Oryzias latipes: one gene and its partners. The protein of the gene in region 4 purifies or fractionates together with the protein of the main gene of each other region. This does not show direct contact. Links are inferred from orthologs where the notes say so. Each region holds a gene or a part of one and is shown on either strand. Other genes may lie near its edges. The genes, in order: riok1, bcas2, tssc4, eftud2, cdc5l, prpf6 and cd2bp2.

Region 1 (4,535 bases), on a different chromosome or scaffold from region 4:
AAAGAAAAAGCCTGGATAGCTACGTGAGATTTGCACCGCTTAGGGATTTCACACCAAGCCTCTTCCAACTGTAGGTGGCGAAGTAAATAGAACAAGAAAAATAAGAAGAGGCCCCTCCCAGCTTCTCTCGTGTGAATGCCATGCGCTAAACGTGCATTCAAGAATGTGCATCATAAGACCAGTGTGCCAGTAGTTTCAGACTCCAATCAGTCACAGCAGATGATTGGTTTTATGGAATCTAGTTCTGCAACGGGTTTCTTCCTCGTTTTCCACCAATTTCTCCTTCTCCACTGTCCGCTTTTGTTTGCTCAGTACAGGGATTACACAGCAAACCCCTCAGTGCTTTGACACCACCTTCGTTGTGAACTAACGCTTTAGAAATTGTTAAGTTGTGCATAACAAACCAAATCTGCTGCAACGCCTGTGGTTAAACCTTGATGGTTTCCCCTCGAAGCCCAGCAGCTCAAAAGAGTCTTTGTCCAGGGACAGGGTCAAGATACCTGAGGACAGACAGACAAGATCATGTGATCCAAGAACAGATGAAAAGGGTCATTTGACCATGGAGATCCACACAACAAACAGGAAGTGATGCTTTTTACCGTTGGGCATTAGGGAGACACAGTTATCCTCGTCGATGCGAGTCTGGTGGGATAAACCATACACGCTGCCTGCAGCACATAGGAACAGGTGAGTCATGTGACCAGATGAGAGCAGGTCTCAGCTAGGTTTAGTGAAGACGGGCGTTTTGTTACCGTTGTAGATGGCACTCCGCAGGAAGTTCTCATTCAGCAGCTTGTAGATGGGCAGCTTCTTAATCAGGTAAAAACTGTTGAATGACTTCAATGTTTCATCCAGATGGGAGGGGGCGGAGCTACAATCAGGCAGTAGCAGAGACACCTGCACAGGCATAGGAAGCAGTAGATCGTGGCTGTTTCAGTGACAGGTCACAATTTTTAACTAAATTTTCCTGAATTTCGCAAAGACCTGCCAAAATAAAAGACGGAACGGCCAATCAGCAGTCTCTATGATTCAATATTAAACATAGAAGAATATACTTTGATGCTGCCTTCAAGAACTTAACATCACTCCATGCTGCTTTTAAAAGCACTACTTAAGATCATCAGTCTTTGCTGCCTTCAGGGACAGGAGTAGTATCATGTCCCTCGGTGCTGCCTTCAGAAACACGGGAATATATCTCTCAATGTTGCCTTCAAAAACAGTTTGTCAAGAGGATGCATCATTCTGCTTCCTTAAACTAATTCACATGCGGACTTGAATATTTTAATTTTCACCTTGTAGTTAAAATGCATTTGCTCCACCTGTGCGCTGACCCTGTTTTTCTCGTTCTGGAAGCTGGACCGCTCACAGACCAGCAGGTTCCGAGGACATCGGCTCAGGTCCTGCATCCTGATGCAGTTCCTGCACGATCTCAGACACGGGGCCTCGGGAAATGTTCTCACTTTAAAGCATGCAGGAGGCAAGGCAAGAAACCCGGAAGCGAACTGAAACACATGGAGGTTTGGTCAGAACGCAGCACTGCGCAGCCGCAATGGGTTGGCCCCTCTTGTTCGCCGTAGTCACGTGATCAGAGCCGGAAGTTGAAGGAGCAGCACGCTGTTGACTTCTATACCACCCGAACAAGGCGGCCCGGTGAAGGTGGGCTTCTTATCAACCAAATACAGCGGGATTACTTTGCGTGGGCTGTGGGTTCATGGAGGAGGTCACGTGCGTTCCTGGACAGTTTGATGACGCTGAGGTAGACAGGTAAAGGTTTGGTTTGGTTTGGTTTGGTTTGGTTTGGTTTGGTTTGGTTCTCTTTGTCGCTCTGTCTGTGTCGTCAGGAAAAAATCTAGTCCCCATGTCAGAAAAAAGGTCGTATGGGTCCAAGCCCAAACGCTAGTTCTGAGTGGTCCAGTAGTCGATTATCCATGTACTAACATTTCTGATGAATCATTTTGACTGGCTTGTTTAGTTTAGTCAGCACCTGGAAAGGCCAAAACCAGCTCCTCAGTGAGTGTCTAATCCGGGTCAGAACCTAAATCATCCTGCCAAAAAGAAAGAACCGACCCCATGAGCAGAACAGTGTCTTCTGTCAGGTTCACCTGTTACGGCCTGGTTCTGTGATCCCATAAGAAATGACTGCCAAAGCTTTCAGAAGATCCAAAATCCTCAGTGTTTCATGAACAATTGTCTCCTCCTGTGGTTTGGGTCTTGCAAAGACTTTGATTTTTATGGTGCAGGAGGACAGATGATGCCTTCTCTGTTACCATGGTAACCAAATGGGGCAAGTACCTTCTCTCCAGAGGGTCTTCTCCAGGTTTCTGGGCTGTATCTCCTCACAGTTATGCCTATTTGAGTTCAGATGTTATTTTTTGGACTTTTCTAACCATCAAAGCCTCATACCCACTGACAAAACAACATCCATTTGTGGCAGTTTAAGATTTTTAATGCCGTGTAAGCATTAGAAAATGTTGTCACAAGTAGGGAGCCATGTTTGGGACCAACGATAGAGGAACTGAAGAGATTTTAATGTGTTTTTTGACCATAATTGGTATTATTTTGCCTTCAATCCTAATCACAAGATTAGAGCGACGTGCACAAATTTTACCTACACAAATACATGTTTTTGTCCACAAAAGTGATCTGCTCGAGTGTTACTCATGTAGCCTTGTGGCTACATATTTTCAGGTGCAAACACCACCTGAACATATCTTCCCTGTAATTGGCTGAGGGTCTGGACTCTTCCTCCCTGTTGGTTCTTTCTCAGTCTGTCTTTTTCTGTTTCCTGCAGAGACCAATCAGAGCCTTCGTTGCTACCAAGCCTCATCAATGATGTCGCTGCGCAGAGGGTCGACAGTGATGAGGAGGAGGACGAAGTGGATGATGATTATGATGATGAGGATGATGAAGAGGATTGGGCGTACCATTCTGCTGCCAATCTGACCAGCAGATTAAACCGGAGCGGCCTCAACTGCCAGGTTCTGATCCAGATACATTAAAATTTAGTTGCCATGTTAAATGTCAGTTAGGGTATATTGGTTCCTTTTCAGTTAAAGAAGTCACATCACGGTCACGGTTCAGAATTATTTATCAGTGATAATGAGTCTGATCCCACTGCCCTTTTGTTTCTCTGTCACTGTTCTCAGGCAAACAGACAGAACCCGTCGAATAAGATGATCTCGTCCTCGACCCCGTCTGACAAAGCTTTGAGGAAATACGAACACAAAATCAACCTGGGTACACACACGTGCACACTCACATGCATAGACCACAGCTGTGGAGGGTTCTGGTTAGGCCTGCACAATATACCGCAAATTTATCGTTATCGCAATATCCAGCTCTGCAATAGGCATATCGCAAAAGACTGCGAATATCGCAATAAATCGTAAACCCAAAATGTGTTAAAACAATCTTCTAGCAGCTTGAAGCATTTAACGAATCAAATAAATCCCTTTATGCTTTGACCAATCAGATGGACGCCTTCCCATTGTTTACCAATCAGATGGAGGCCTATTATGTTAGATGTTTGTCACCTATGTCAATGAGGGTCATTTGGAGTGTAATTTTAAACTGTTTCTAATCAAATGGGAATGGTGTTTTTGGCATTTTTCTATTTTTTTATATACCGCAAATTATATCGTTATCGCAATATTAATCTCTAATATCGCATATCGCAAGTTTTCCTCATATCGTGCAGCCCTAGTTCTGGTTTTCCTGTCCGACATGGTGTGACCTTAAAAAGTGTCTGCCCCTCTGTGAGGTCAAACAATCTCCAGTAAGAAGATGGCTGATAGTTCTGAATAATCTCCTATGGATGTGTGAAAAAGTATTAGCCCCGCCCTGATTTCCTCTACATGAGAGAAGATGGAGTTTATTTTTAGAGGCAAACACAATTTCATACAAGAAAGTTAACCTACCACTGTTTTTGTTGATGTTTTTGTTTACATTAGCATTTTTATTGAAACACATAAATAGGTTAAAAAACAAGGCAATGATAGATATTATTCTACTATCTTCTTTTCCAGAAAGTCTTAATTCCAGAAAACATTTTGTTCTGCAAAGATTTTTGTTTTGGTCGCATAGTCTGAAGGTCTTTGTTCTAAAAGACCTATGTTCTAAGATTGTCTTCTGGACTAATGGGTTTTCTGTTCTAGAGCTTTTTTGGTTCTTCTGTTCTTTGAGGTCTTCCATTCTTGATGGTCTACTGTTCTAGTCGTTTTGCTGTTTCAGGAGATCCTCGATTTTACTTTGTCTTCCGTTCCTAGAAGGTCTTTTGTTTTGGGAGACATTCTGTTCTTGGAAATTCTTTTTTTTTTATCTTCCATTTTATGAAGTCTGCTGTTCTATTATGGATTTTGTTTTCGAGTGGATTCTAGTTTGATTTTCTGCTCTTGATAATAACTGTTTTAGTCAGTCTTCTGCTCTGGAAGGTTTTGGTTCTAAGATATCTTTTGTTCTAGAATGTCTAGTGTTTTAGAGGGTGTTCTGCTCTACGACGTCTGTTGTTGTTCTGGAATGTCTTCTGTTCTTGAAGA
Region 2 (4,065 bases), on a different chromosome or scaffold from region 4:
ACATTAATTCAATTAAAATAAAAAAATCACTTTTTGAATCAAATCTGCACATTTATTTTTTTCTGTTATTCTGTGGAGGAGCTTGGCCAGAAACTGATCCTGTTTTCCCAGATGTTAGGATTAATTTGGTTTTGCAACGTGTACACACGCAAAAAAACATACTATTAGGCCTGCACAATTAATCGCAAATTTATCGTTATCGCGATTTCAAGCTGTGCAATATCCATATCGCAAAAGTCAGCGAAAATCACAATAAATGGTAAACCTTAAATGTGCTAAAACAATCTTATGGTAACTTTAGCTATTTAATGAATTAACTAAATCCCTTTATGCATTTGACCAATCAGATATAGCCCTTTACGTTGTTGACCAATCGGATGGAGCTCTTACGTTAGATGTTGCCCTACTAATTAGACGAGGGTCATTTGGAAGATAAATTTAAGGTATTTTGACTCTTATTTATACTAAACATTTGAAGGGAAATGGAAATGTTTTTGTTGTTTTTGCTATTTGTTCATTTTTTGCAAGTTATATCTTCATCGCAATATTGATCACTAATATCGCATATAGCGAGTTTTCCTCATATTGTGCGGCCCTACATACTATAATGCATACACATACCAGTACTTCCCCTTTCTTGGCTATTTACTCTTGGTTATTATTTCTGTATTGTTAAGATGAAATGCCTTCAACGTAAACTTATAATTTTATATACATTATTTAAAAAAAAATATTGAAGTGATGATGAAGTATTTTTACAAGATTGATCACATTTGTATCAGAAGAAAAAGCTATTTATATATTTTTTTAGAACAACAACAAAAGAAAGATAAAAAAAGCATTTATTTGTTGAAATTTAATATGAAACTCTTTAAAGGTTTACTGTAGTGCAGTAATAGCTGAAACCTGAAGTTTGTTACACTACACATCTGCAAGAAGCTCCTGGGGATCTTCTATCAGTCTGTGGTCGCCAGTGTAATAACCTACGCTGTGGTGTGCTGGGGGGGGAGCACCTCAAAGACAGACTTCTCCAGGCTGGAGAAGCTGATCAGGCGGGCTGGTTCTGTGGTTGGCACAAGGCTGGACCGTCTGGCTACTGTGGCAGAGAGAAGGACACTGAAAAAACTGACAGGTATCCTGGACAATACCAGCCACCCTCTGCACATGACTATCGGTAGCCAGAGAAGCACCTTCAGCAAGAGGCTGCTCCTCCCAAGGTGCGGGACTAATAGACTGAGGAACTCCTTTGTCCCCCGGGCCATCAAACTCTTTACCACCCCCGGGCCATCAAACCACTTAGGAGGGGGGAGGGGGACAGAAAGGAAAGGGAAAGGGCCTGAATCACTTTTTTTTTTTTGTATATACTGTTTGCAGATATTTAAATTGTTTTTTACTGTTCTAATCTTCCTCATTTTTCTAGTCACTGTGCTGCTTTTTCCTTTTTCCTATATGTATGTCAACCAGTGCTGTATGCGATGGAGATGTCAATTTCCATGCGGGAACCTCCCAAATGGATAAATAAAGTTGTCTATCTATCTACTAAGCTGCAGTTCCATTCCTCAACGCAAGAGGCGACAATCACGATTAATACAACACCGTTGAGACTTTTATTTCGGAAAGTTTTGACCGGAAACGGAAGTTTCTGATTAGCCGTTTGGAGTCTGTTAGCAGAAAAGGACTTTCTTTCTTTATTTTTATTTTTTTTTACTGGGGAGCGAACATGGCTGGAACGGCCTCGGTCGCTGGCGAAGTGTTTGTTGATGCGTTGCCGTATTTTGATCAAGGTTATGACGCACCAGGTGTCAGAGAAGCGGTGGGTAAACAAGAATGCTGCTTTAAAAGCTAGCTAACTTATAGCTAGTTAGAACTGTTAGCTAGCGATGCCGCATGGTAACGCGCCGTTCAATGTATAGTTGGCCAAACCATTATTATTATGATCGCCTGTATATTTCTTTAGATCTTGTCATTATAGGTTTCTGCTTTGAAACTATACAAGTTCATAATTTAGGATGAAAACCTTCAAAGCCAAAGCTGCTGTTTACCTCATCGGGTAAAACAACAGCTGAGGGGTTTGAAACAGCCGGCAGATCTGGAGAACCAGGGTTTGGTGACACTAAGTTGACATGTTAGATCATCAGGGGTTGTGGCTCATTTTTAAATCATGTTTGTATGAAAAATGGAGAGAAATCATTTGTACTTGGCCCTTCAGGCCGCTGCGTTGGTGGAAGAAGAGACCAGAAGGTATCGCCCAACTAAGAACTACCTGAGCTACCTGCCCATGCCGGAGTTCTCGCCGTTTGAGGTGAAAACCTGCAGACATTTGAAACTTGATTCCTAGTCTGGGTTGGCTAACCGGTTTATAATCCTTTCCCGTTTTGTTTTGGGTTTCAGACAGAAATCATGAGGAATGAGTTTGAGCGATTAGCCGCTCGACAACCAATGGACCTCCTCAGCATGAAGAGGTAAAAAACACACTCTGTCTGTCTGTACAATATTTCTGTAAATGTAAAAGAAAGAGAAAGTTTAGGGTGATTCCATAGAACGATTCTATTCTGCTGTGGAGGTATGAGCTTCCAGCCCCCACATCGGGACAGAAGAACGACATTACCGCCTGGCAGGAGTGTGTCAATAACTCCATGGCCCAGCTGGAGCACCAGGCCATCCGGATCGAGAACCTGGAGCTCATGTCGCATTATGGAACAAACGCGTGGAAGGTCTACAACGAGTGAGTGGCGGCCTGTGGGTCTCACCCTTTGGTGTCTGACTCTTCTGAAGACTCAAAGCTAATGTTGTCCCTTTTCAGCAATCTGGCCTTCCTGATTGAGCTGGCTCAAAAGGAACTCCACAAGTTCAGGTGATTGAGGATTGGATCATACATGCCTGAAAAGATCCAACGGTTACCATGGTTACACATTTCTGAACTTATGCCGGCAGGAAGAAGATCCAGGACCTGAACTGGCAGCGCAAAAACGATCAGTTGGCTGCAGGCGCCAAGCTGCGAGAGCTGGAGTCCAAGTAGGTTCTTCTTAAGTTCTGGTGTTCTCGTGGATGAGGGGTGATGTCTGACTCTGGTTCTGATTCCCGCCAGCTGGGTGTCGCTGGTCAGTAAAAACTATGAGATCGAGCGCGCCATCGTCCAGCTGGAGAACGAGGTGGCTCAGCTGAGGCAGCAGCAAGGGGAGGAGAACAAGGAGAACATCCGACAGGACTTTTAGGAGTCACCTCACCGGGATCCGTTGGATGGATCTGATTCGGTTGGTTTGGACGACTCGATGACTGCTGGAGCGTAGCGGGTCACTCGACTCCAAGACGGATGATGTTTGAAAGGCGTCGGTTTCCTCTGATGGAACCGTTGGGTCTTTTGTGTTCAGTTACACACAAATCATGGTTTGAAACTCATGATCGATCGACATGATCGATGTCTTTGTAGCTTGTTGTACAGTTTCTAAGTTGTGGTGGAGAAAAAAAATCCTGTTTTTGATTCAACTTTTGTTTTTTATCGTTTTAATAAAATGAACGTTTCATACACATTGTTATTTTTTTCAGTCTTTTACCTGTAAGTCTCTGAGCTTCAGAGCTGCAGCTGATGAGCTGGAAGCTAACAGATGGGAGCAGCTGGATGGTTTGTCATTCATCCCTCTTGAAGAACAGTGAAACCTAAAGTCTGAGGCCTAGAGTGAGGCGGTTTTGTGTCAGATCCCCTGTCTTCTGTACATCCACTGAACTTTGATCTCAGAAATCTGCAGCATTTTGTGCTGATCCATTTTCAAAAGTCTCAGCGTCTTCCATGACTTCCTGGATGAGTCTTCATCTTTGTTGTTGGTCAGTGGCACAGAAAGGTCACAACACATTAACTCACAACACATTAACTTACCACACAACACATTAACTCACAACCCAAAAACTCACAAAACATTAACTCACAATGGAAGTAAAGCTGCAATGGAGGTGCTTTTATCCTGAAATTAATTAGTGTATATATATATATATATATATATACACATCAAGCTCAAGGCCCCAACTGACAGTGTCCTCAGTGAATGTCTCAGGCAATGGAGAACAGAG
Region 3 (4,607 bases), on a different chromosome or scaffold from region 4:
TTTCTTTCAGCCAGAGGGAGTCTGACCTCCAACCGTTTTTATTTTGAAGCCTCTGCCTAAGCTTTGTCATCACTGTTGTGAACAATAAAGTTTGAACGCCATCTGCAGCTCTTTCTACACCGTCGTGGGTGTTTTGCATGATTGTACTGTAATATAACCGCCTCCATGCGAGCGTTGGGGTCCCCCGTTACCCAGCATGTAGTCCTGGTACGCCTTGAACCTCTCGTAGAACAGCAGGCTGCCGGTCTGGAAGGTGTCCGGCAGAGTCGCTCCTGACCGCCGCTCCGACCTCTGCAGCTGCGTCCCCGACCTCTCAGAGTTCTGGTGGTCTGTCCCGCTGTCGTCGTCGTCATCCTCGTCTTCGTCACTGACGTCTCCAGCATCATCGTTCTGGAACAGAGCTGCAGAACCCAGCGGAGGTCATGAATGATGGCTGTGAAAGTTTGTCCAGCGCCACTTTTCAAAATAAAAGACTGTTAATGCTTTTTTAAACTTTGAAGGACTTTAAAAAAAATGTTTGCATTGATTTAACTCATTTATAAAGTTATTTTGCTATTTTAAAAAATATGCTTTCAACTCTAATTTTAATAATAATTTCATAGGCATTTTAAATGTTATTTTTGTCCTTAATTGCTGTATTTTTAGTAAGTTAACAGGTTTTAAGGCTTTTTCCGGTCCTCCTGTGTCAAAATCCTCATGAAAGCAGATATTTTCTCTTCTCTTTTATTTAACAATCTGTTAAACAACTTCATAGAATCAACAAAAGAGTCACAAATACTGTGTCTACATACACAAATAAATGAATTTATTTACACCCCCGTTTTCCAGGTGTCAAACTCCAGGCCTCGAGGGCCGGTGTCCTACATGTTGTCCAACCAACCTGCCATGAAGCACACCTGATCCAGGTAATCAGTAGCAGATAAGGCAGGATATCTTAAAAAAAAAAAAAGAAACAGTCTGACACCCCTTTTGCGGTCTTCTATAGGTATATTTTGTTTTTGTAATAACATAATTGTGTTATTTGTTTATTTCAACATCCGTTAATGTCTACTCAGATGAGAGTGAAATATAATTATTTGTCGTATTTGGGTTAAGTTTGGAAAATCCTGCAAGATTGACAGTTCCGAGAATGCAGCTCAGGCTGACGACATATGAAGACGCTGCGTTCACAGACCGCCGGAAACTCGGATAAAAAGTCTGCTAAATCTCCAAGCTAGCAAACCTCGACGGCAGCGGTTAGCTTGTCTCATACACCGACTCGGAGGAAAGAAAACTCAAACCAAAAACGGTAACGTAACAAACCTTGCGCTACATCCAATAAACCGGGTCCCGCGGAGCAAACGCTGTCCGTCTCGACCTGAGGATCCAGATCGACCACCACCAAGTCCGACACGTCGCTGACGGTACACCCGGTTTCCAGGGCTTCGAACTCCATTGAAACGCTCGCCAGAGTCTCGGTTTAACGGGATTAAATGAGGATCACGCGGCACTTGGAGCTTTGAAACAACAAGCGGAGTTCTGAGCCCACGCCCTGACACTTTCAAAAGATCCCGGTCTGCTGCAGCTCAGCCAATCACAGCAGGGAGCTATATAAAGACCCGCCCTTGTTTTTTTACATGCGCGGATCGGCTCGGTCTGCAGTACCACAGGACAATCGTTAGGGGGCAGTAATGACGTAAACATTACACGATCTACCGTAGAAGAAGAGGGTTTCGGCCGGCGGTCTGCGCTATTTCAAAGGTACAAACGGGATTTAAGTCAAAACTACGCGTATTATATAAATATTTGTCATGTAAACAACAGCGCATTTCGCAGCTCTTTTCGGCTAGACAGCATTTTTGTTTTGTTTATAAGCATTTGTAACGTTGTTAGCATGTCGCGCTACTACTAGCATCGTGCTACTTAGCATGCTAACTAACTTCAGTCTGAATCTTGTTTTTACGAAGTCAATATTCCGAGTTATTTTTATTTTTATTGCCAATCTTTTTAAATAAAATCAAAACAAAAGCTTTAGTTTTTTAGGCACAAAAAAAATTCATATATGAGATGAAACAGATGTTTTAATTCATGCGCTGTTAAGGCTGATGATCATGATGATGTTATTATTGTTGTTCGCACGTATTTTTACTAGAAAACAAAGTTATGGAAAACATATTTAAAGTTAAAATCCCATTAACTGTGAGAAAATTGTACTTTGATCCTGGAGGAGCGGAGAGCTGCAGAAACAGCCGCTCAGGAACCAGGGGGGTATTTTCTTTATTTTTAGCTTTTTTTTTAATTGAAAAAACACTTGAGGTTTACAATTTGTAACAATTGTATACAATTATGACAAGTATAGAAAAGTAGAAAAAGTACAGGACATGAACAAACAACATAGGCAGGATAAAATAAAAATATAACAATAATACCGAAAAAAAATTAAATAAAAGAAATTAAAATAAAAAGGGGGTCACATAGACATTTTAATGATTCTTGACTTGGGGGGTTCTCAAAAAGCTGCAAGTTACATATAATACTTTGAAGTTCCATAGCAAGTTTGATTTCCATGAAGTTTGCAGATGAAAAAAAGAGCAGAGTTCTTTATGAAATGTAAAAGAATATGGTTGGATTTCAAGGAATTGACATTTATGTATATAGAATTTACCCAAAATAATTACAACATTTAAAATAAGTTCTGTGTTTTTTTGTTTTTTAAATTAAACCCAAAAATGATGTCCTTAATAGAAAAGTCTGCTAAATGTGGGATTTGGGGGAAAAGCCAATAATTCCAAAAGACATTAGAGTCAAAACATTCAAAGAAAAGATGCTCAGTTGTTTCAATGTCATCATGACAAAAAGAACAGCAGTTTTCAGGAATTCCAAACCGTTTTCTTAGTAATTCCTTGGAAGGGTAAAATACCTGAAAAGGTTTTAAAATTGACTTCCTTGGCTTTAGGAGGGATGGGGAGTTTGAAATATTTGGTTCGTATTTGTTTCTTTTCTGAATTATTGAAATATTGGGTTATATAATTTGAATTTGAGATGTAGGGAAAGGACGTTTCATTCAAATATTCTCTGATTTGATGGTTGGGGAGTTTGAGTTAGGGTTACCAAGTCCAGCGTAATTACACTAACTCAAATCTGGTCATACCGACATACCCAGAGTAAGCAAGTTCAGGCGGATTTCAGCCAGAGTTCAGGCTTAAAGTCAGGCTAGTTTAAACGTGCTTCCTGGATACCTGCCTGAACTTACCGAAATCCTAACCTTGACCCTTCCTGTGGGTCCGTGCAGCCAATGACAACGTTCAGCACTGGCTGCACGTGCGCATTCTTGTAATTATTGACCTTTTATTGGGTCATTATTTCAAAACATTTATTTCAAGTTTGTTTTGAATTGAACAGAATTAGGACTTAAATAATTATGCTTGCTTTTAAAATGGATGTAAACATAGAGGATCATTATTATTTTACAGGTTATTTCCAAAACCCTCATATTTACTGTTGGATGCTCGGTGGTCCGTCCTCACAGGTCCTAGCAGCTTGTTGTTGTTTTGGTAGATGTTAAAACCAGTCCATGCAGGTTTGATGGGGTGGCCTGACCTTTGGTGTCTTCCTCTACAGTTTTGGGGTTCCCACCTGACCGGGTTTGTCTTCCTCGCGGCTCGGGGTTCGGCTGCAGCCGCGGCTGAAGATGTCGCAGCAGAAATGCGTCCAGAGCTGCGGCGACGACCAAGAAGGCTTTGAGCTGTCGGCCAGTGACGAGTCGGAGCCCGAGGAAGAGCTGAGCCGGGCGCCCTTTGACCCGGAGCTGGATGACAGCGACGACGGGGGCGAGGAGGCGTGCGCTCTCGGCGCCACCCGCTCAACTGCGAGCACGTTCGTCTTGAGCGGAGGGAACTCTGCGTTCTCCGACCGCAGCCGCAGCGTCTTCGACTGCCTGGATGGCGTCGAGAGGCAGACGGCACCTCTGCTCCCCGAGGAGAGCATGCCCCCTCCCAAATGTCCCCCTCCTGCAAAGAAGAGGGGGGTCCCGGACTACCTGCTGCACCCTGATCGCTGGACGCGCTACAGCCTGGAGGACGTGAAGGAGACCACTGATCAGGAGAACCGCAGGGCGGCGCACAACTTCCTGTCCAGTCTGCGGCCTGAAGAGGGCAACCGCCCCCCCGGTGAACCCCCCCACGACCAGCAGCAAAAGGTGGTCTTCTCTAAACCCAAACGAGCGTTCAAGGAAGAAATCTCTGAGTCAGACCAGCAAGGAAAGGAGAAGAGACTGCACCTCAGTCACCTGGCTGAGGAAGAGGAGGAGGACAACAAGGCTGCTGGAAAGACCCAGCAGGATGCAGAGGAGGTCAGAGACCAGCAGGAGTCCCTCCCCAGCTTCACCCCCTTCAAGAAAATGAAGAGGAAGAGCTACAGAAGGAGCTCGGATCACAAGGATGAGTGCTAAAATGCTCGATTTGATGCTGACTTTGTGCTAAAGCTGGAACATTTGATGTTTTATTCAAAGAAAGTTTGACATATGAACAAACTATCAATACAAACCAGGCTGAAAAAAGCATGAGAGTTTGGTTTAGTGACGTTTCATGAATTCTTTCTTCATAAAACTAACGACCAACAATGCTGCA
Region 4 (3,153 bases):
TTTTTTATTTTTTGACTTTGCTAGCTGGGGGGTTTCTATTTAGCGGTGGGGGCAGCGGCTTTAATAAAGTACTGCTACTTGACATGTGCCTAGAATCTGTTGGATGTGGTGGGGAGAGTCCAGCAGTTTTCAGTAAAACTTCCCTCAGAATAAAATTATAAATAAAACAGAAAATATGTAGGTTGGGTGTTTTTTTTTTTTTTTTCTTTCTTTCCAGTCTGATACCAGCTGTCCCACGAAACAGGAACGGTCCCCTGGCCTGGGGGCCGTTGCTCTAAACCATAAATTCATGTGAAGGTTTCCGATTTAAATCTACTTTAAAGAACAAATGAGAACTCATAACATAAAAGATGACATAAAAGTTGCATTTTTTTATATGAAACCATGGAGCTCTTTAGCTACAGCTCATTCTCGTTAAAGGATTTTAGCGGGGTCTGTTGTTGTGCAGCTGTTGGGGCAAATTAGCCTTTTTTTCCAGCTTGTATTGATTCAGCAGGTCAATACAGCGGCTCATGCAGAAGAGGAAATGTCACCAGCCGGTCCGTCTCAGGAGGAACATTTTAGGCGGCAGAAACCGACGCCATAAGAAAAATAAGTGCTGGACAGCCGTTTGTTTATGTGCCAATAAATGCCAGAAAAAGGGGGCAGTGGAAAATTTCAATTTGGCGATGGATCTGTTAACTTGACTCCAAGTAAAGTCGTTGAAGCTCTTGATTGTGGAAGAAACTCCACACAGCTACAAACCATCGGGAAACTCAGAGAAAACACAGATGTTGTTGCTGTCTTGTTATATTTTCTAATTGCTTGTCTGAATGAGCTCAATCTGCTGCAGAAAGCAGATAGAGCTGACATAATGTGGATGTACTTTGTCTGCGTAAACACTGGATTATAATAAAACGTTATTGTTTGCTTTAGTCGGAACAGCAAAGAAATAATCTGGAGCCAAATCTGCACATATGCTGTTTTTTTTCTGCTATCTGCAGAGTTTTTATTTGATGTAATTGTATGTCTTTTATTTACTCCAAACCTAAAATTGATTGTTCCAACGGCTGAGATTGAGACATAAGATTTATTTAACTGGGTGTTAATTGAAGCTCTAATCATTAAAAGCTGTACTTTTAAACAAAAACGTTGTTTTTTTGTTTTTTTTTTTAGGTGGACAAGGCGCTGCTCGGCTCGGTTAAAGACAGCATCGTTCAGGGGTTTCAGTGGGGAACCAGGGAGGGCCCCCTGTGTGATGAACGTAAGTCATGTCTTTGTGTTTGAACTTCCTCCACAGACAAGCAAAGCTGAAATGAACTCGTTTGTCTTTGTGATGCTCTCAGCCATCAGGAATGTCAAGTTTAAGATCCTGGATGCTGTGATCGCTCAGGAGCCTCTGCACAGAGGAGGAGGTCAGGTCATCCCCACAGCCAGGAGAGTGGTGTACTCTGCCTTTCTCATGGTGAGCTCGGACTGAAGCTTCCTACAACTGGATGTTGCTGTTTTTTGCCTTTGTCCTCCTCCTCTTTAGCTCTTTAGCATCGTCAGCCTTACGTAAGAAAGTTTGTTGTGTTTTCAGGCGACGCCGAGGCTGATGGAGCCGTACTACTTTGTGGAGGTTCAGGCTCCAGCAGACTGTGTTTCGGCAGTCTACACAGTGTTGGCTCGAAGAAGGTCGGCCCTTTAACCCTGGAGAGCTGATCAAAGTCACTTGAAGTTACAAAATAATTCTTCTTTATTACTATCTGTTTTGACTTGCTCTGTTTGTCCTCTCTTAGGGGCCACGTCACCCAAGATGCTCCGATTCCCGGCTCCCCTCTTTACACGATTAAGGCTTTTATTCCCGCCATCGACTCGTTTGGCTTTGAGACGGACCTCCGCACTCACACGCAGGGCCAGGCTTTTGCTTTGTCTGTGTTCCACCACTGGCAGGTAACCTGATGGACCCCAACCCTCTCTGGAAAATGCTGATGTCAGATGTTTTTAAATGCAAATTTTGCAGTTTTTTTCTGCGTCCTAATTGGCTAGTTGGCTAAGACAACTCCAATCAAATTTACAAAAATCTTTCATCGTGACCCGATGTTTGGTTCTAATCTAGAAAAATTGGACTTAAAGTTCTATGAAGCTTTGAACTTTGAGAGTTTAAACAAGAGACTAAAGGGTAAGAAAAGTTTAAAAATCCGCTCCGATCGTCCGTCTTTTGATTTATTTTCAATGTCCCCAGTGATTTTTTAATCATGATTATGACATAATTGCTGCAGAGCAGCAGTATTTCATGACAAATTCACCTCTGAATTGTGGGCGGGACCGTTACCGTGGAGAAACCTCGCCCTCTTTTCACCTCCCCGTTGCTGAGAGCTTGCAGCAGGGAGCTTGCAGCAGGGAGCTTGCAGCAGGGAGCTTGCAGCAGGGAGCTTGCAGCAGGGAGCTTGCAGCAGGGAGCTTGCAGCAGGGAGCTTGCAGCAGGGAGCTTGCAGCAGGGAGCTTGCAGCAGGGAGCTTGCAGCAGGGAGCTTGCAGCAGGGAGCTTGCAGCAGGGAGCTTGCAGCAGGGAGCTTGCAGCAGGGAGCTTGCAGCAGGGAGCTTGCAGCAGGGAGCTTGCAGCAGGGAGCTTGCAGCAGGGAGCTTGCAGCAGGGAGCTTGCAGCAGGGAGCTTGCAGCAGGGAGCTTGCAGCAGGGAGCTTGCAGCAGGGAGCTTGCAGCAGGGAGCTTGCAACCCTCCCAGTGTATTTTCTACGTCATACAATCTTTTTCAAACGGCATTTTCTGTCTATCCCTTGTTCAAGAAATTCTCAGAAATGCAATTTTGAGCTTAAATTTTATTCGAATATGTCCTCCATCGTCAGAAAAGTGCCACAGGAACACAATTTTCACCCGATTGGGTCTTTAAGCAGAAAGTTCCTGGACATTTCCATACTTTAGTTGGTCCTGGTTCACTTTCAAACTCATAAAAACAGTCCTCTTTTGCATTTCAAACTTGTCTTTCATTCTCGCCGAGCTGCTCTGATGCCGAGCGCAGCAGTTTTGAGTCACGACTTCCAAAGTATCATGTCTGTCTCAGTGTGACACGTGTTTGTTACGGTGCTCAGCAGAGCTGTGTCGGTGAAAACTAATTCCACTTAAGGACGATTAATACTTCCCTGAAAACTCAGTCATCTGTGGGGCGCAGAGA
Region 5 (4,458 bases), on a different chromosome or scaffold from region 4:
CTGTGTTGTGAAGAACATATGAGCAGCCTGGTGTCATTTCTGTGAATTTAATCAAGATGTTCCTCAGATATCCAGTTGAAATAAAAAGATCATCACTCCTAAAACCTGCCTGTTTATTCTGATATCAAACATTAAAGCAGAAAAGGAAACTAGTTATATCCACCAGATCCAACTATTTGATCCATTCATTGATTTATCATGAGTACTGGTACCAGTCTGGTCACTTGGTACCAAGCAGCAGAGAGAAAAAATACATACTTGGCAGTGTTTTTATTTTATTTTTTATCTGATTATGAAGGACGTTTTATTTTGTAAAACTCTGCTTTGCTGATTTATTCTACATTTTTTTTCACACGTTCTTGACATTTTTATTACATGTCCTCTTTTTTCATTTAAAAGGTGATTAAACTAATTAAATTTCATGTTTAGTGTTTGGATCTGACATAAAGCCGCTCTGAAAAAAATGCATGAAAACTCACCAAAACTTGCAGACCGCCAGTACCTGGTAAAAATGAAGTCGATGACAGCATGGCAAGCGAAACCATAAAAAAAATAATAATAAAAAATTAATGAGCCGAAAATCGCTAATGGAGGCACAAAAACAGTCAAAATACACTAAGGAAACCATACAACACATGTCGGGGATATCCAAAGGACGTTTTGAAATTATTGTGGGCCACACAACCCACTGCTTGGCAGCTGGTTTGTGGCAAAATTGTGGCAATTTTCATGTTTTTCCACAATATGAGAAAAGTCGACCTTTAGCCTCGGGAAGAGGTCTTTGAAAAAAACCTGTAGTAGCAGCTACACACGAAAACTACAAGGTATTTTCGTCGATCATCTAACTTCTCGGTCGTCATTGGCAAGCTCCTGTGCAAAGAATTTTGCAACTAGAAGCTCGCTAATTTTTATGGGAATGTCACAAAAATTGAAAAATAGGGCCCCCTTCTACACACAACCCCCCACTTCTTTCACACCTCCGACCCCCCTAACTGATTGGGGAAATACAATGAGAAATAATGAATTGATAAATGAATAGGGCAAATATTTCCTAAGAATCATCGCATTTACCAATCAGGGACTCAGCTTTGGGTATGTGCCGTTTTCAGTGAAACAATCAGCGGGTAGAGAACACATCCAATGCCAGCGCTTCTGTTTTGAACTTCCATCTATTTTGTTGACCTGCTGGGGTCACGGGGTTGCCGGAGCCCATCCCGGTTCCTGTTGGGCGAAGGCAGGACATTATTTAGAGGTTTTATAATTGCACCATTACAAAGTATGTAGTATTCGGTTTATGTATGGAACACTTTTAAAATAAATAACATTGTAATGATTACATCTTTTTAAATTAGATTTCCGTTTTGTCATTTTATCTGGTAAGAAACACATTTTTGGGGACATTTGACTCATTTTTCTCAGCTTTGTTGTTGCTACTAATAGCAAAAGGGTAGGAGGGTTAAGATTTACCCAAAGTAATTATTTTTCCTGCTTCCTAAAATAACATATATACATATGAGACAGTCATGGTATAAGACTACGTTACCCACAGTGCCTTTCGGTGACTACTTGTAAGAATACAGTTTCCGGTGTATCCGTGCATGTCGTTTCTCCTTCGTAGTGTTGCTAGTTTTTAGGGAGAACTGGAAAATCTGCTAGACTGAATAGCGGGTGTTAAAGCAATATTTAATTTTGTTGACGGAGAATTCAAAAACAAGCCATCAAGATGCCTCGTATTATGATAAAAGGAGGGGTTTGGCGTAACACTGAGGTAAGTGTTTACATGGCTAACTGTTAGCATGCTCCTAGGCTAATCCTAAACCAATGGCGGGAGGTTAGCATAAAGCTAAAGGCCGTACTCTCCACAGCACGTTTATGTACACGCTCTTTTGTCCGCGAATTTAACTTTTGATATCGATGTTTTTAGTTGGAAAAGGTGATGAAGGTGGTGAAAGTGCAACATTTGCAGCCGTCTTCCTCTATGCTAGTCCTGAACGTCCGCTGCCTTCTTCACGGGGAGGAGACTTGCTGCTGCTGCTCGCTCTGCAGCCGGGAAACTTTAGGCAGATCAGCATCCATGTCTTTTTTATTTAATTTTTATTTTTATTTATTTATATACACAGTGATGAAAGTCTTCCGGGAATTCCCGGAAATCCGGGTTTTTGAGCAAACCGAACGTACTTTCCGGGAAATAAAGACCTGATCTTTACGGACAAATCGCTTTCCGGATGAAAAAATGGTCTGAAATCGGCGAATTTTAGCTTTATTTTCTATATTTCTCCGCGGATCGCTTCCTATATGGTCGCGGCCATCTCTCGTCTTCCCGGCCTAATTGACCAATGACGGGACGTTTTAGTTGCTTTCGGATGCGTCGACGGGTCTGATTGGCTCTGTCTGCACCACGTGGTCAGCGTGACTTGCTTCCCTAGAGACCAAAACTGGCTGACCCACGCTAAACTTTCACAAACAAATCTAAAGAGTTTGCGATCAAATTTGTGTTAAAATAATGGCAGGCATCGTCATTATTGAGCGTGGTCACGACCTCAGTTGTGAGAAGACGATAAAAAACAAATTGAAGTGGTCTTGGCTGGAAGAAAAATATTTTTAAGGTAGTGTAGGTCAAATACTTTTTTGTGTAAAATAATCTCAAAACCAAATTCAGAAATAATTTCAGTTTTAGTTTTGAGTTTCAGTTTTTATTTTGAATACATTTCTCTATCTAATTTATTTGTATTTCCTAATTACCATGATTTAGTTCAGTATAGTTGACATTAATTATAAGTATTTGATGGTTTGGACCCGCACTCCCTTAAAAAATAATGTTTACAATATTTAATTTAGTTTGTATGTTTGTTTTGATATTTCCCAGATTACTTAGTATTGGTGTTAAAGAATTGATGTATTATGTTATAGAATTATAGTTTAAAGCAGATCCCATATTTTGATGTAATTATAGTTTGAGAAAACAGTGCAAGTGAATGTTGTACATCAGTCATTTCTAAAGCAGAAATAATGTATAAATAACTGAGGTATTTTCATAGAATATCATAGTTACTGGTGTTCTTTTTGCCATTTGGGGCTTTGATGTTACTATATTTTAGCAATTGTATCTTTTGCAGATTTTAGGAAAAGCTTAGATTGTAGGATTGTTATACTTTGAGCAATGATCCAAATTCTTTTTTAGGACCAGGAAGTCCTTAATGTTAAGTCAAACTAGGGGTTTGAATGACAAATGATGATGCTCCAATTAGTCTTAGTTTCTTGATTAAGAAGTGAATAACGAGCTGCCAGAATGCACCAGAATGCATCTAAGACTATGTATTTTTCAAAAATTTCTCTCTGCGCCGCCATATCGCTCAAAGAAAAGTTCAGGGATTTTTTCCTTGCCTGACTTTCATCACTGTATACAAAAGAACACGGGCAGTTAATGGCAACTAATATTAGGAGATAATGTAATGTATTTATGGCCTGCAGGATGGATCTGGGTGGGCAGGGCTCACCTGTTAAATGTAGACAGTATAAGGCGCGTGATTCATTGATTCATAAAATGACAACTGCTAACCAAAGCAGTAAGTCGTTTGTTGTTTAGTGAAGTCTTTGTTGATTATTTGTTTGTTTGTTCAGGATGAGATCCTCAAGGCGGCGGTAATGAAATATGGGAAAAACCAGTGGTCCCGCATCGCCTCCCTGCTGCACCGCAAGTCTGCCAAACAGTGCAAAGCCAGATGGTGAGTTTGATGCCGAAACACATCTTCCATTTTCATAATGGTGGCAGCTTTATAGGCAGATGAACGGATGGATTTTGTTTTACCCTGCATGTCTGCAGGTACGAGTGGTTGGACCCCAGCATTAAGAAAACGGAGTGGTCCAGAGAGGAGGAGGAGAAGCTGCTTCATCTGGCCAAGCTGATGCCGACGCAGTGGAGGACCATCGCTCCCATCATAGGACGTACTGCTGCCCAGTGTCTGGAGCACTACGAGTACCTGCTGTAAGTCTGACTTTCTTCTGGAATGACCATAACCAGGTGGTGGAGTGTGTGTGAAGGGGGTGGGCTTTCTGTTTAGAGACAAAGCTGCACAGAGAGACAATGAGGAAGAGGTGGGAGATGATCCGAGGAAGTTGAAACCAGGAGAGATCGACCCAAATCCTGAGACCAAACCTGCCAGACCGGACCCCGTGGACATGGACGAAGGTACAGAATCTCTACAGCTCTGCAGCTACAGTGAAAACTGCCCTCTCATTCTTTGTGGAACTTTGTGAAGTCTGCCTTTAAGGAGCAGCTGTGCTTCTGTGTTTGCAGACGAGCTGGAGATGCTGTCTGAAGCCAGGGCTCGCCTGGCCAACACACAGGGCAAGAAAGCCAAGAGGAAGGCCAGAGAGAAACAGCTGGAGGAGGCCAGGTCATCCTTCATATGATGAAAACCTCCAAAGCTGTTGTTTCCTGATCAAATAACACGGTAT
Region 6 (3,852 bases), on a different chromosome or scaffold from region 4:
CACAAGATCCAACTAGAAGCACTGAAAACCATGCATCATGCTGCAGTCCCAGTTTAGTCCAGCAGGGGTCAGGAAACTTCACCTAAAACAGTCTTAGCAACTGCCAAATGTTTATGATACTGCTACTTTGTAGCTTCTGTACAGCAGCCGTGAGCTGATGGGTATTTGGACAGTAACAAGATGGAATTAGTTTATTGGTTTTAGTGCTTTATAACTGCAGTCCTGAATTCAGGCTGTGGAACTGTGGCCCTCCTTTGGCTTGTTCTTCTCTTATTATTCATTCTTATTCTTTCGTGCGTTTTTTTGTCCGTTCATATCTTCTGCATATTTTATCTGATTTCTGCCATTCAAGTATCAAAATGTCCTGCAAATTGAGGACATTATTGCTATCTTCTGCGATTTCTGCTACAACTTATGGTTTTTCTGCAATTCAACAAAATTGCTGCAAAATGTTGCCATAGAAGTACATAGGGGAAGGCTCTTCAGCAACTTCAAACTTACTGCAAAGCTAACTTCTGCATACTTTATGCCGTTCAAAAAATTCAAACATGCATTTGTTCTGCTCTTTTGTAGACTTTTCTGCTGTCTTTAAACCATTTTGGTAACATTTAAAGTTTTTCAAAATTTTAAGTTGTTTGAATTTCAAATATAATGGAAGTCAATGGAGACAGTGCTTCAACTTCTCTGTTTTTGAAATGCATCTCCTCCTATAATTTCTCAACAATTATTTTAATCTGACGTATAGTTGAGACACAGCATCATTTTGTTTGGGACATCTGTCCATCTCAGACTCTGTAGCGTTTGTGCCTACGTAGATGACATATACAGCTGCGAGCAGTCCTGGAATTTGAACCCGTTGCCATGGAGACAGCACTCTCTTTCAGACACGCACAGACACACTGAGACGGGCTTTGCAAAAGTTCAGGGGACCTTTGACACTTTCAATGACACATAGATGTTTTTTTATTCAAAGTTTCAAACACAAATCCCCGTGTTTGGAATAAATTCTGTTTGTATGAACAGCTTTAACTAGCATAGCATTAAACCTTTATATTAACATCATGCTAGCTGTAGGTGCAAATGTAGACATTCCTTTACATTTTTGTTATGTAACCATTACATCTACATTGTGCTGGCTCACTTATGTTAGATCATTTAATTTGACATCTATCAAGGGTTTTCAAGCTAATTTGGCATTTAGCTAAAAATTTTACAGGTTTTTTTGCAATGTGAATTAATTGCAGCATTATAATGGTGATGTCTTCTGCAGCTTGGCAATCCGAAAACCTCTGCAGATTTTACGCAAACAGCTTCAGCAATTTATCCAGCCTTTTTCTTTTCAATACATTTCAGCTTCCTCTGCTAAAAGTTATGCGATTAAGCCAATAAAAGCAACCACCTTTTGCAATTAGTCAGTTAATCGTATATACCCAGGAAATGCAACTTTTCTAGTTATTCTTGGCACATTTTTTGTCATTTTCAGTTCACAGCATAGAAAAGCAGTTTCACACATTTACAGTTTGTTCACATTATATATTCTATCTTGTTACACTTGTGAGGGAACTGTAATTGGAAACCGAATTCCCTGGAACAATAATGCTCCTTCTCTTCTAACATTATTTCCTGTCTGCACTAGCTGGGGGGCCTGAACACACCTTACCCTGGGAGCATGACCCCTGGTCTGATGACACCTGGAACAGGAGAACTGGATATGAGGAAAATTGGTCAGGCCAGGAACACTCTCATGGATATGAGGCTCAGTCAGGTATGCTTTTTGTGTAATTCAGTATGACTTCCTCTTTAATCTGCTTGTGTTCTGCAGTGATATGGATAATTGTTCTGTTGCGTTTGACTTTTGCTGTGCAGGTGTCAGATTCTGTGAGCGGGCAGACAGTCGTGGACCCTAAAGGATACCTCACAGATCTGAACTCCATGATCCCAACTTATGGAGGAGACATCAGGTAACGACAGCGCGGCCGTAACTTCTTTTCTTTTATACGCGTTTGTGATCCCACCATCAGATGTTTCCACTTCCTTGCATAACAGATAAGATTTTCTATGCATTAACCAAAAAAAGCATCGGATAAACCTTTTGTGTGAAAGAAAGTGGGAAAGATTAAATCAAAGCGCTATCTAAAGCTGTGCATTTTTCTAATTTTTATTTTTATTTTATTTGGTAAGTGCGAACTGTAAAGTTGGGGAGATAGCTTCTAAATTTGCATCTCAATGAGTAAGAGGTTCCCGGGAATGTGGGAAGTTGTTGAGATTGTCTGTTTTTGATCATTTGTATCTAACTCTTTGGGTGCAGTGACATCAAGAAGGCTCGCTTGCTGCTGAAATCAGTGAGGGAGACCAACCCCCATCATCCACCTGCTTGGATTGCTTCGGCCAGGCTGGAAGAGGTCACTGGTAAACTTCAGGTGGCGAGGAACCTGATAATGAAAGGCACAGAAATGTGCCCAAAGGTAAATTTGAGGTTATTGCAGGCTTGATCGAAGGGGTGTGACAATCACAGCATCACCGCATCGGTGATGACCGCATCACAGCACGTTTTTTTCTTCTGCATATGGTGTGTGATTGGAACTAATAAACACATTAAACACATTCATCTTTGCTGATAATTTACTTTTTCTGCTAGTCCCGTGTTCAGACTTCAGGGGCTTCTGGGGGAAACCTTTTATTACTGTTCTCCTTCACTCCCTGCGCGGCTCTCACTCCCTCTTGCGCCCCACACGCTCCCTCTCCTTACACACACGTGCGCGGTTTCAGCAGCACATACAAATCCTCATTGTACAACAGAAATTCCGTCTCGCGAGGAAATGCGACAAATTTACTGCGTTCTAATTATTCATTTCCATTACAAGTTGCGTGGGTGGTGGTGTTTATTACTGTTCTCCTTCACTCCGTAACACCAAACACGAACGGGCTCTGTTAGATTTCGATGAATATCACTACATGTTTTGTTTGGGAATTATTTCGTGCAGCGCAAAGTTACGTGTCTGTATAAACAAAGGCGGAGCCTCCCGCCACGTGTTCTTCATGGGTGTCAGGCTTCATGGCTACCGGAAAGGTGACAAAGTGTCTGCAGTCTGTTTATTACTGGGCAATATATAATATTCTGAGAAGATGTCTGTACCAGAGAGCACAGGTGAAGCCTTGCTTGCAGCTCCAGAGCGGTCCGCTGCAGAAGAATTAACACACTTGTGTGCTCCTTCCTCCTACATACGCAGCGTGCTGACACACATACACATAGTCATTCTACAACACCTATATAGTTAGTTCATTAGGTGGATAGGTAGTAGTTAGTGGTTACTGTTATTTGTTAATAAAGAATACTGCGTTGTAATTGTATTCATTTGCAACGCAGCCGCGGGGGTATTTTGTGTTTGGCCGGGGGGGGGTTAACCGCCACACCGCCCCCGCTGCTGGTTCATCACCGCGGTGATCAAAAATCCCACACCGTCACAGCTCTACTTGATCGTCTGTAAAATGTTTTATTTTTGAATGAAAATATTTCACTTTATTGTGGTATCTATAAATGCAAACCGAACTTTCTAGCATTTCAGTTTTCCTGTTCATTTATGAAAGAATCTTTCATGAGGATTTGTGCCTCTCAACCAGAGTGAAGATGTGTGGCTGGAGGCCGCTCGGCTCCAGCCCGGAGACACGGCTAAAGCTGTTGTGGCGCAGGCTGTCCGTCACATGCCGCAGTCCGTCCGCGTCTACATCCGAGCTGCTGAGCTGGAGACGGACATCCGGGCCAAGAAACGGGTCCTCAGGAAAGGTACACTTCTCAAATATTGATTCTAATAAAGCCAAATTACAGTTACTCGAGTAGTGGGTCTGCATTAC
Region 7 (4,477 bases), about 1.5 Mb from region 4:
TATTTCTATTCTTCAGTAAAAACAGAATGTTAATCAATCTTTTTATTTATTTATAATACACCTTTTTGTTTTAATAAAGTAATGCAACAGAATTTTCAGAATAAAAGTATCTTTAAACCTTAACTACTAGAAGTGAACAAAGATCATCATATGAATAAATGAATAAATAAAACTTGTGAAACATGCAATACCATCAACCCCCATGCATCCAACATAACGACATTTATTTTAAACCTGGTAAGTACCTCATAATAAACAATAAAAATGTCAGCACATTTCCAAAACCACAATATTTTTCTTGGCTGCTCACATCACTGCAGATTTGACAGCGCTGACTCAGACTTACCTTTTGTCAAGCAGTAAGGGTCACTTTGGCCTCCCACGCAGTCCTTTCATTATTCAGATCGACACATTATGTTTTAATTTTTGTTGTTGTTAAATATGAAGGCGGTTGTTTGCTGTCAGGTTGATTCGACCAGCCCAGACAATGTTTTCATATTTAGCATTAAGTTACTAAAGCTGGTTCCCTCATGGGCACCGAAGGACGAGCGTTTAAATATAAATAACTCAACCCACTTCCTGGTAATAATACCCTGACACGTTATATTCTCTGTTGAGTCTGCCCGGAGCTCCTGGGAACTGAGCAGTCGCGACCTGCTTCACTGTCAAGAAGTGAGATTCTAGTGGCTGTGGTGGAGTTGACTGCCTTGGCTCCATCATTTCTCCTTTTATTTCTTTTATGATGTGATTTCCTTATGATTGCTTTTAAGGCGACTGACTCTGCTGTGGGCAGATGGAAAATAACTGAAAAGATTCAGTTCCCTGTCAAAAACAGCACCACTTTTATTGATCTAGGTTTTTTTTCCACTTTTTTTAAAGCTATAATTAGATCAGCTTCTGATTCTATATTTATAGAATAATTTCAACTCCTGGTAAGGATTTGTGTTTGTTGCCATGGAAAATAACAAAATCTTTTTTTAAATTGAGCAGCTTTCCTAATAAGGTTCCTATTGTGCATAAATCCCGTGCATTTTCCTTATGTGCTTTTAAAAACTAATACAATAAAAGATTAAAAATGCAAACGATTGAAAATGCAGATCTAATAATAATTATTTTGTTTGTGTGCTATCACAAATAAAAAAAGAGCTATTTTAAAAAATGATAAAATAAAAAGACTTAGTTATAAATTCAATAGCATTAATGGCTTTTAGGGAGAAGCATTAAATCTACAAAAATGAAACATAGCTCTATTCAAAGTGTAGTTTTCAAAATGACGTCTGAAAGAGCAAAACTGAAATCGAATATTGTTTCTCTGAATTCTCATTTCTAGATTTATTAACAGTTTTACAGAAAATTATTCCTGCTTTAACTATTCACAACTGCAGTTTTTCAAAAAGGGTGTGGTAAATAAAGACAGTTTGCTAAAAAAAACGGATAACAAAAGATGAATGAATCCTAAACAAAATGTAATTTTTGAGCCAGCCTCAACGCTTTTATCTTTGAAAATAACAGCTGTTACCCTCCACACCACATGGTGGCGGTGTTGCGTCATTCCGCCATTGTTGAATAACAATAAAATCTAGATTTCCGTCAAACAAGAAGCGAAAGCGAACGTTGACAATTTATGCAGGTTTTTTACCACGCTCTCCCTATCTGTTCTATTGTGTCATTTATACTTATTATTTGTTTATACATTATGTTGACCAACATAATGTTGAATGCCTTTCGTATATCGAGTCGCAGTTGGTGGCGAGGCGTTTACTTGTTCTGCATGCTCTCCGTGTTGTTGTTTGCTAACACTTAGCTGCAAAGCTAATAACGTGCGTGTTATTACAGTCACTTGTGGGTGTGTAGTTGCGTGGATAAAAGTGGTGCTCTGTTGTCTTCTCCAGCACCATGTCGAAGAGAAAAGTGACATTTCAGGACGGGAACGAAGAGTTTGAACTGGAAGACGACGGGCTCACGAAGAAGGTAAAGCCGGAGGATCTGTCAGGGTTTTGCTAAAAAAGTTTAGCCTTTGATTTCCTGAATTTTGATCTGGATAAACTATATAAGTAATCATTTGTTACGTATTGGTACTAATTAAGTGCCGCGTGTTTTATTTTAGTTTTGTGCTGCGTCATTCATTTCTGTGTTTTCCTCATGATGAGCTGTTGGCCTTTATTTGATGCACTATTTTCATTCCACTATTCTATTGAAATATTAGTACAGTTATTTTAAAGATGTTTACTTTATTTTGATATATTCTAAAACGGCATTTGCATAACTAATAAGTTATAACTTTTATTAGTCATTTGAAATCTTTTCCAGTAACTTATGAACTGAGATTATTTTTAGCTTAAGTGGACACTTTGTTTAATTCAAAATATGGCAGACCTGTGTAATTTTTTTATTATCTGAGAAATGATAGAATGTAAAAGAATAAAAACACCTATTTTTAGGTGAAGCATGACCTTGTTTTACTGTTTAGGTTATGCTTTTTTTGGGGGCATCGATCACAAAATAAATACATTTGTTTCGCTTTTGTTTCTAAGTGCCATCCCTATGACTTTGTTTTGTTGAAACAGAGCTGTGAGGCAGTGAGTGGACCAGGTTCCAGGTTCAAGGGCAAACATTCACTAGACAGTGATGAAGAGGACGAAGGAGGAGAATCAAAACACAGCAAATACAACATTCTAGCCAGCGATGATGTGGAGGGTAAGCCTTGTTTTTTGTTTGTTTTGAAAAATAATATAAGTGAGGGTGCTTTAATTTTAAACCAAGATGTTTAATATCTGTTTACCTGCACAAAGTAGTCCTTTATGCTAATAGTGCTTTCGTAAACTTTCCCTGGAAGCTGTTTTAATGTCAGAAAATGTGTTTTCAGGTCAAGAAGGAGCAACTATCGACTATGATGAGGGAGTATCTATTACACCTTTTAACCTAGAAGAGGAGATGGAGGAAGGTCACTTCGATTCAGAGGGAAACTATTTCATCAAAAAGGAGAAAGAGATTAAAGACAACTGGCTAGACAACATAGACTGGGTAACTAGTTTTAGGAACACATACATGGCGTATTTTCAGTCAAGAGAGAATGAATGAAACATCTTCCTTTATTACAGGTAAAAATAAGAGAGCAGCCTTTCAAAAAGAAGAAGAAAGGTCTGGGAGCCAAGCGGGTGCGCAGAGCTGGTGATGAGGATGAGGCTGAGGAGGAAAAGCGGAGGGAGGAAAAGCAAGTAGACAAGGGTGATCAGGAAGAGGAAGAGGAGGAGGAGGAGGAGGAGACACCTGTAGAGGACCCCCTGGCATCCTACACGCAGCATCAGCTCACTGAAGCTGTTGTTGAGTTATTGGAACCCGGAGAAACGGTTGCTACGGCGCTCCGTCGGTTAGGAGGCCTTGGGGGGAAGAAGGGGAAGCTGAGGAAAGAGAACGAACCCACAAAGGAGAACAAAAGAGATGCCGAGAAGCTGGATAAGCTCACAGCTCTCGCTGACAGACTGGTTGGATCAGGGATGTTTGAAATCTATCAGCACACTTATGAGAAACTAGGATTTTTGATGAAGAGGATGACGAGCAAGCAGCCAGCAGACAGGCAGAGAACCAGGTGTAGTGACGATGAGGATGAACTCGACATGTTTGGCGACAAATTTGATGAGAAAGTTGAGGAAAAATCAGAAGACAAAGAGGATGAGGAAGACAAAAGAGGTAATTTGGCGAAACATTTGAAGATTTTCGGTTGTCGTCACATGCAATGTAACTTATTTGATCGATCTTTCTGAACTTTTAGTGACGGATGAAGTGATGTGGGAGTACAAATGGGACAACAAGGAAAACACAGAGGTCTACGGCCCCTTCACCAGCCAGCAGATGCAGGTTATTCCCCTCAAATTTGTACATGAAGAATTATTCTTATGGGATTTGTGCAAAATTAAACTGTTAATCTCCCTTTTGTGTTTTAATATAAACAATTAGAAAGTGGTGTCTTTGTCTATATCTGTCAGCTAATAGTTCATTTGACGCCTAATGTACAAGAATTGTGTAATTATTGTTACTCCTATACATTGTTTTGAATAAAATCAGGATACAGAATATGTTTAAATGATATTTAAGTGAAGTCATAATTGACATTATTACAAAAAATGATAAAATCTGTGCAGCTTTAATGCAGCATTTTATGTCTACCTTTTAAAGTTTATTTATTTTTTAAGTGAATTTTAACTGCTCTCTTTCTGTAAAGATAGCAGTAAATCCCACCGTGTTTGCCAGATTATTGACTTGTAAAGTAGCTCTGACCCTCAGTTGGACCTGGTGGGGTTTTAATCTTCTTATTGTTCGTTTTCCAGGGCTGGGTGGACGAAGGCTATTTCAGCGACGGCGTGTACTGCAGGAGGGTCGACCAGGAAGGGTCTCAGTTCTACAACTCAAGAAGAATAGACTTTGATCTTTACACATGAATTATGGCCATAAATGATCCTCATCATTTTTGCAGTTT

Evidence for each region.
Region 1: the proteins of eftud2 (region 4) and riok1 purify together in Homo sapiens (affinity purification with mass spectrometry; 3 studies listed by BioGRID). This does not show direct contact. The link is inferred for Oryzias latipes from reciprocal best matches to the Homo sapiens genes EFTUD2 and RIOK1.
Region 2: the proteins of eftud2 (region 4) and bcas2 purify together in Homo sapiens (affinity purification with mass spectrometry; 3 studies listed by BioGRID and IntAct, with this or other methods). This does not show direct contact. The link is inferred for Oryzias latipes from reciprocal best matches to the Homo sapiens genes EFTUD2 and BCAS2.
Region 3: the proteins of eftud2 (region 4) and tssc4 purify together in Homo sapiens (affinity purification with mass spectrometry; 4 studies listed by BioGRID and IntAct, counting the BioPlex papers as one, with this or other methods). This does not show direct contact. The link is inferred for Oryzias latipes from reciprocal best matches to the Homo sapiens genes EFTUD2 and TSSC4.
Region 5: the proteins of eftud2 (region 4) and cdc5l purify together in Homo sapiens (affinity purification with mass spectrometry; 6 studies listed by BioGRID and IntAct, with this or other methods). This does not show direct contact. The link is inferred for Oryzias latipes from reciprocal best matches to the Homo sapiens genes EFTUD2 and CDC5L.
Region 6: the proteins of eftud2 (region 4) and prpf6 purify together in Homo sapiens (affinity purification with mass spectrometry; 6 studies listed by BioGRID and IntAct, with this or other methods). This does not show direct contact. The link is inferred for Oryzias latipes from reciprocal best matches to the Homo sapiens genes EFTUD2 and PRPF6.
Region 7: the proteins of eftud2 (region 4) and cd2bp2 purify together in Homo sapiens (affinity purification with mass spectrometry; 7 studies listed by BioGRID and IntAct, counting the BioPlex papers as one, with this or other methods). This does not show direct contact. The link is inferred for Oryzias latipes from reciprocal best matches to the Homo sapiens genes EFTUD2 and CD2BP2.

The regions. Positions count from the first base shown.
Region 1 is NC_019875.2:13,399,505-13,404,039, reverse strand, and holds the start of riok1 (serine/threonine-protein kinase RIO1), read left to right. Parts: upstream 1-1,584; 5' UTR 1,585-1,711; coding exon 1,712-1,764; intron 1,765-2,791; coding exon 2,792-2,978; intron 2,979-3,146; coding exon 3,147-3,237; intron 3,238-4,535. Other genes in the region: rpp40 (ribonuclease P protein subunit p40), read right to left, coding at 405-500, 600-668, 753-897, 1,293-1,406. UniProt on the Homo sapiens protein: Involved in the final steps of cytoplasmic maturation of the 40S ribosomal subunit. Involved in processing of 18S-E pre-rRNA to the mature 18S rRNA. Required for the recycling of NOB1 and PNO1 from the late 40S precursor.
Region 2 is NC_019865.2:942,901-946,965, reverse strand, and holds bcas2 (pre-mRNA-splicing factor SPF27), read left to right. Parts: upstream 1-1,616; 5' UTR 1,617-1,720; coding exon 1,721-1,813; intron 1,814-2,209; coding exon 2,210-2,302; intron 2,303-2,391; coding exon 2,392-2,462; intron 2,463-2,563; coding exon 2,564-2,725; intron 2,726-2,803; coding exon 2,804-2,854; intron 2,855-2,934; coding exon 2,935-3,015; intron 3,016-3,088; coding exon 3,089-3,215; 3' UTR 3,216-3,528; downstream 3,529-4,065. UniProt on the Homo sapiens protein: Required for pre-mRNA splicing as component of the activated spliceosome. Component of the PRP19-CDC5L complex that forms an integral part of the spliceosome and is required for activating pre-mRNA splicing.
Region 3 is NC_019861.2:37,264,131-37,268,737, reverse strand, and holds the start of tssc4 (protein TSSC4), read left to right. Parts: upstream 1-1,643; 5' UTR 1,644-1,740; intron 1,741-3,600; 5' UTR 3,601-3,670; coding exon 3,671-4,429; 3' UTR 4,430-4,607. Other genes in the region: shcbp1 (SHC SH2 domain-binding protein 1), read right to left, coding at 192-401, 1,303-1,435. UniProt on the Homo sapiens protein: Protein associated with the U5 snRNP, during its maturation and its post-splicing recycling and which is required for spliceosomal tri-snRNP complex assembly in the nucleus.
Region 4 is NC_019866.2:5,479,236-5,482,388, reverse strand, and holds part of eftud2 (116 kDa U5 small nuclear ribonucleoprotein component), read left to right. Parts: intron 1-1,155; coding exon 1,156-1,243; intron 1,244-1,325; coding exon 1,326-1,444; intron 1,445-1,561; coding exon 1,562-1,656; intron 1,657-1,760; coding exon 1,761-1,914; intron 1,915-3,153. UniProt on the Homo sapiens protein: Required for pre-mRNA splicing as component of the spliceosome, including pre-catalytic, catalytic and post-catalytic spliceosomal complexes. Component of the U5 snRNP and the U4/U6-U5 tri-snRNP complex, a building block of the spliceosome.
Region 5 is NC_019873.2:1,354,610-1,359,067, reverse strand, and holds the start of cdc5l (cell division cycle 5-like protein), read left to right. Parts: upstream 1-1,554; 5' UTR 1,555-1,723; coding exon 1,724-1,768; intron 1,769-3,621; coding exon 3,622-3,725; intron 3,726-3,823; coding exon 3,824-3,985; intron 3,986-4,061; coding exon 4,062-4,189; intron 4,190-4,297; coding exon 4,298-4,397; intron 4,398-4,458.
Region 6 is NC_019865.2:15,463,676-15,467,527, reverse strand, and holds part of prpf6 (pre-mRNA-processing factor 6), read left to right. Parts: intron 1-1,636; coding exon 1,637-1,765; intron 1,766-1,866; coding exon 1,867-1,961; intron 1,962-2,308; coding exon 2,309-2,465; intron 2,466-3,621; coding exon 3,622-3,784; intron 3,785-3,852. UniProt on the Homo sapiens protein: Involved in pre-mRNA splicing as component of the U4/U6-U5 tri-snRNP complex, one of the building blocks of the spliceosome.
Region 7 is NC_019866.2:3,948,335-3,952,811, reverse strand, and holds the start of cd2bp2 (CD2 antigen cytoplasmic tail-binding protein 2), read left to right. Parts: upstream 1-1,542; 5' UTR 1,543-1,630; exon of another isoform or gene 1,631-1,892; 5' UTR 1,893-1,896; coding exon 1,897-1,971; intron 1,972-2,567; coding exon 2,568-2,697; intron 2,698-2,866; coding exon 2,867-3,024; intron 3,025-3,101; coding exon 3,102-3,690; intron 3,691-3,772; coding exon 3,773-3,858; intron 3,859-4,328; coding exon 4,329-4,439; 3' UTR 4,440-4,477. UniProt on the Homo sapiens protein: Involved in pre-mRNA splicing as component of the U5 snRNP complex that is involved in spliceosome assembly.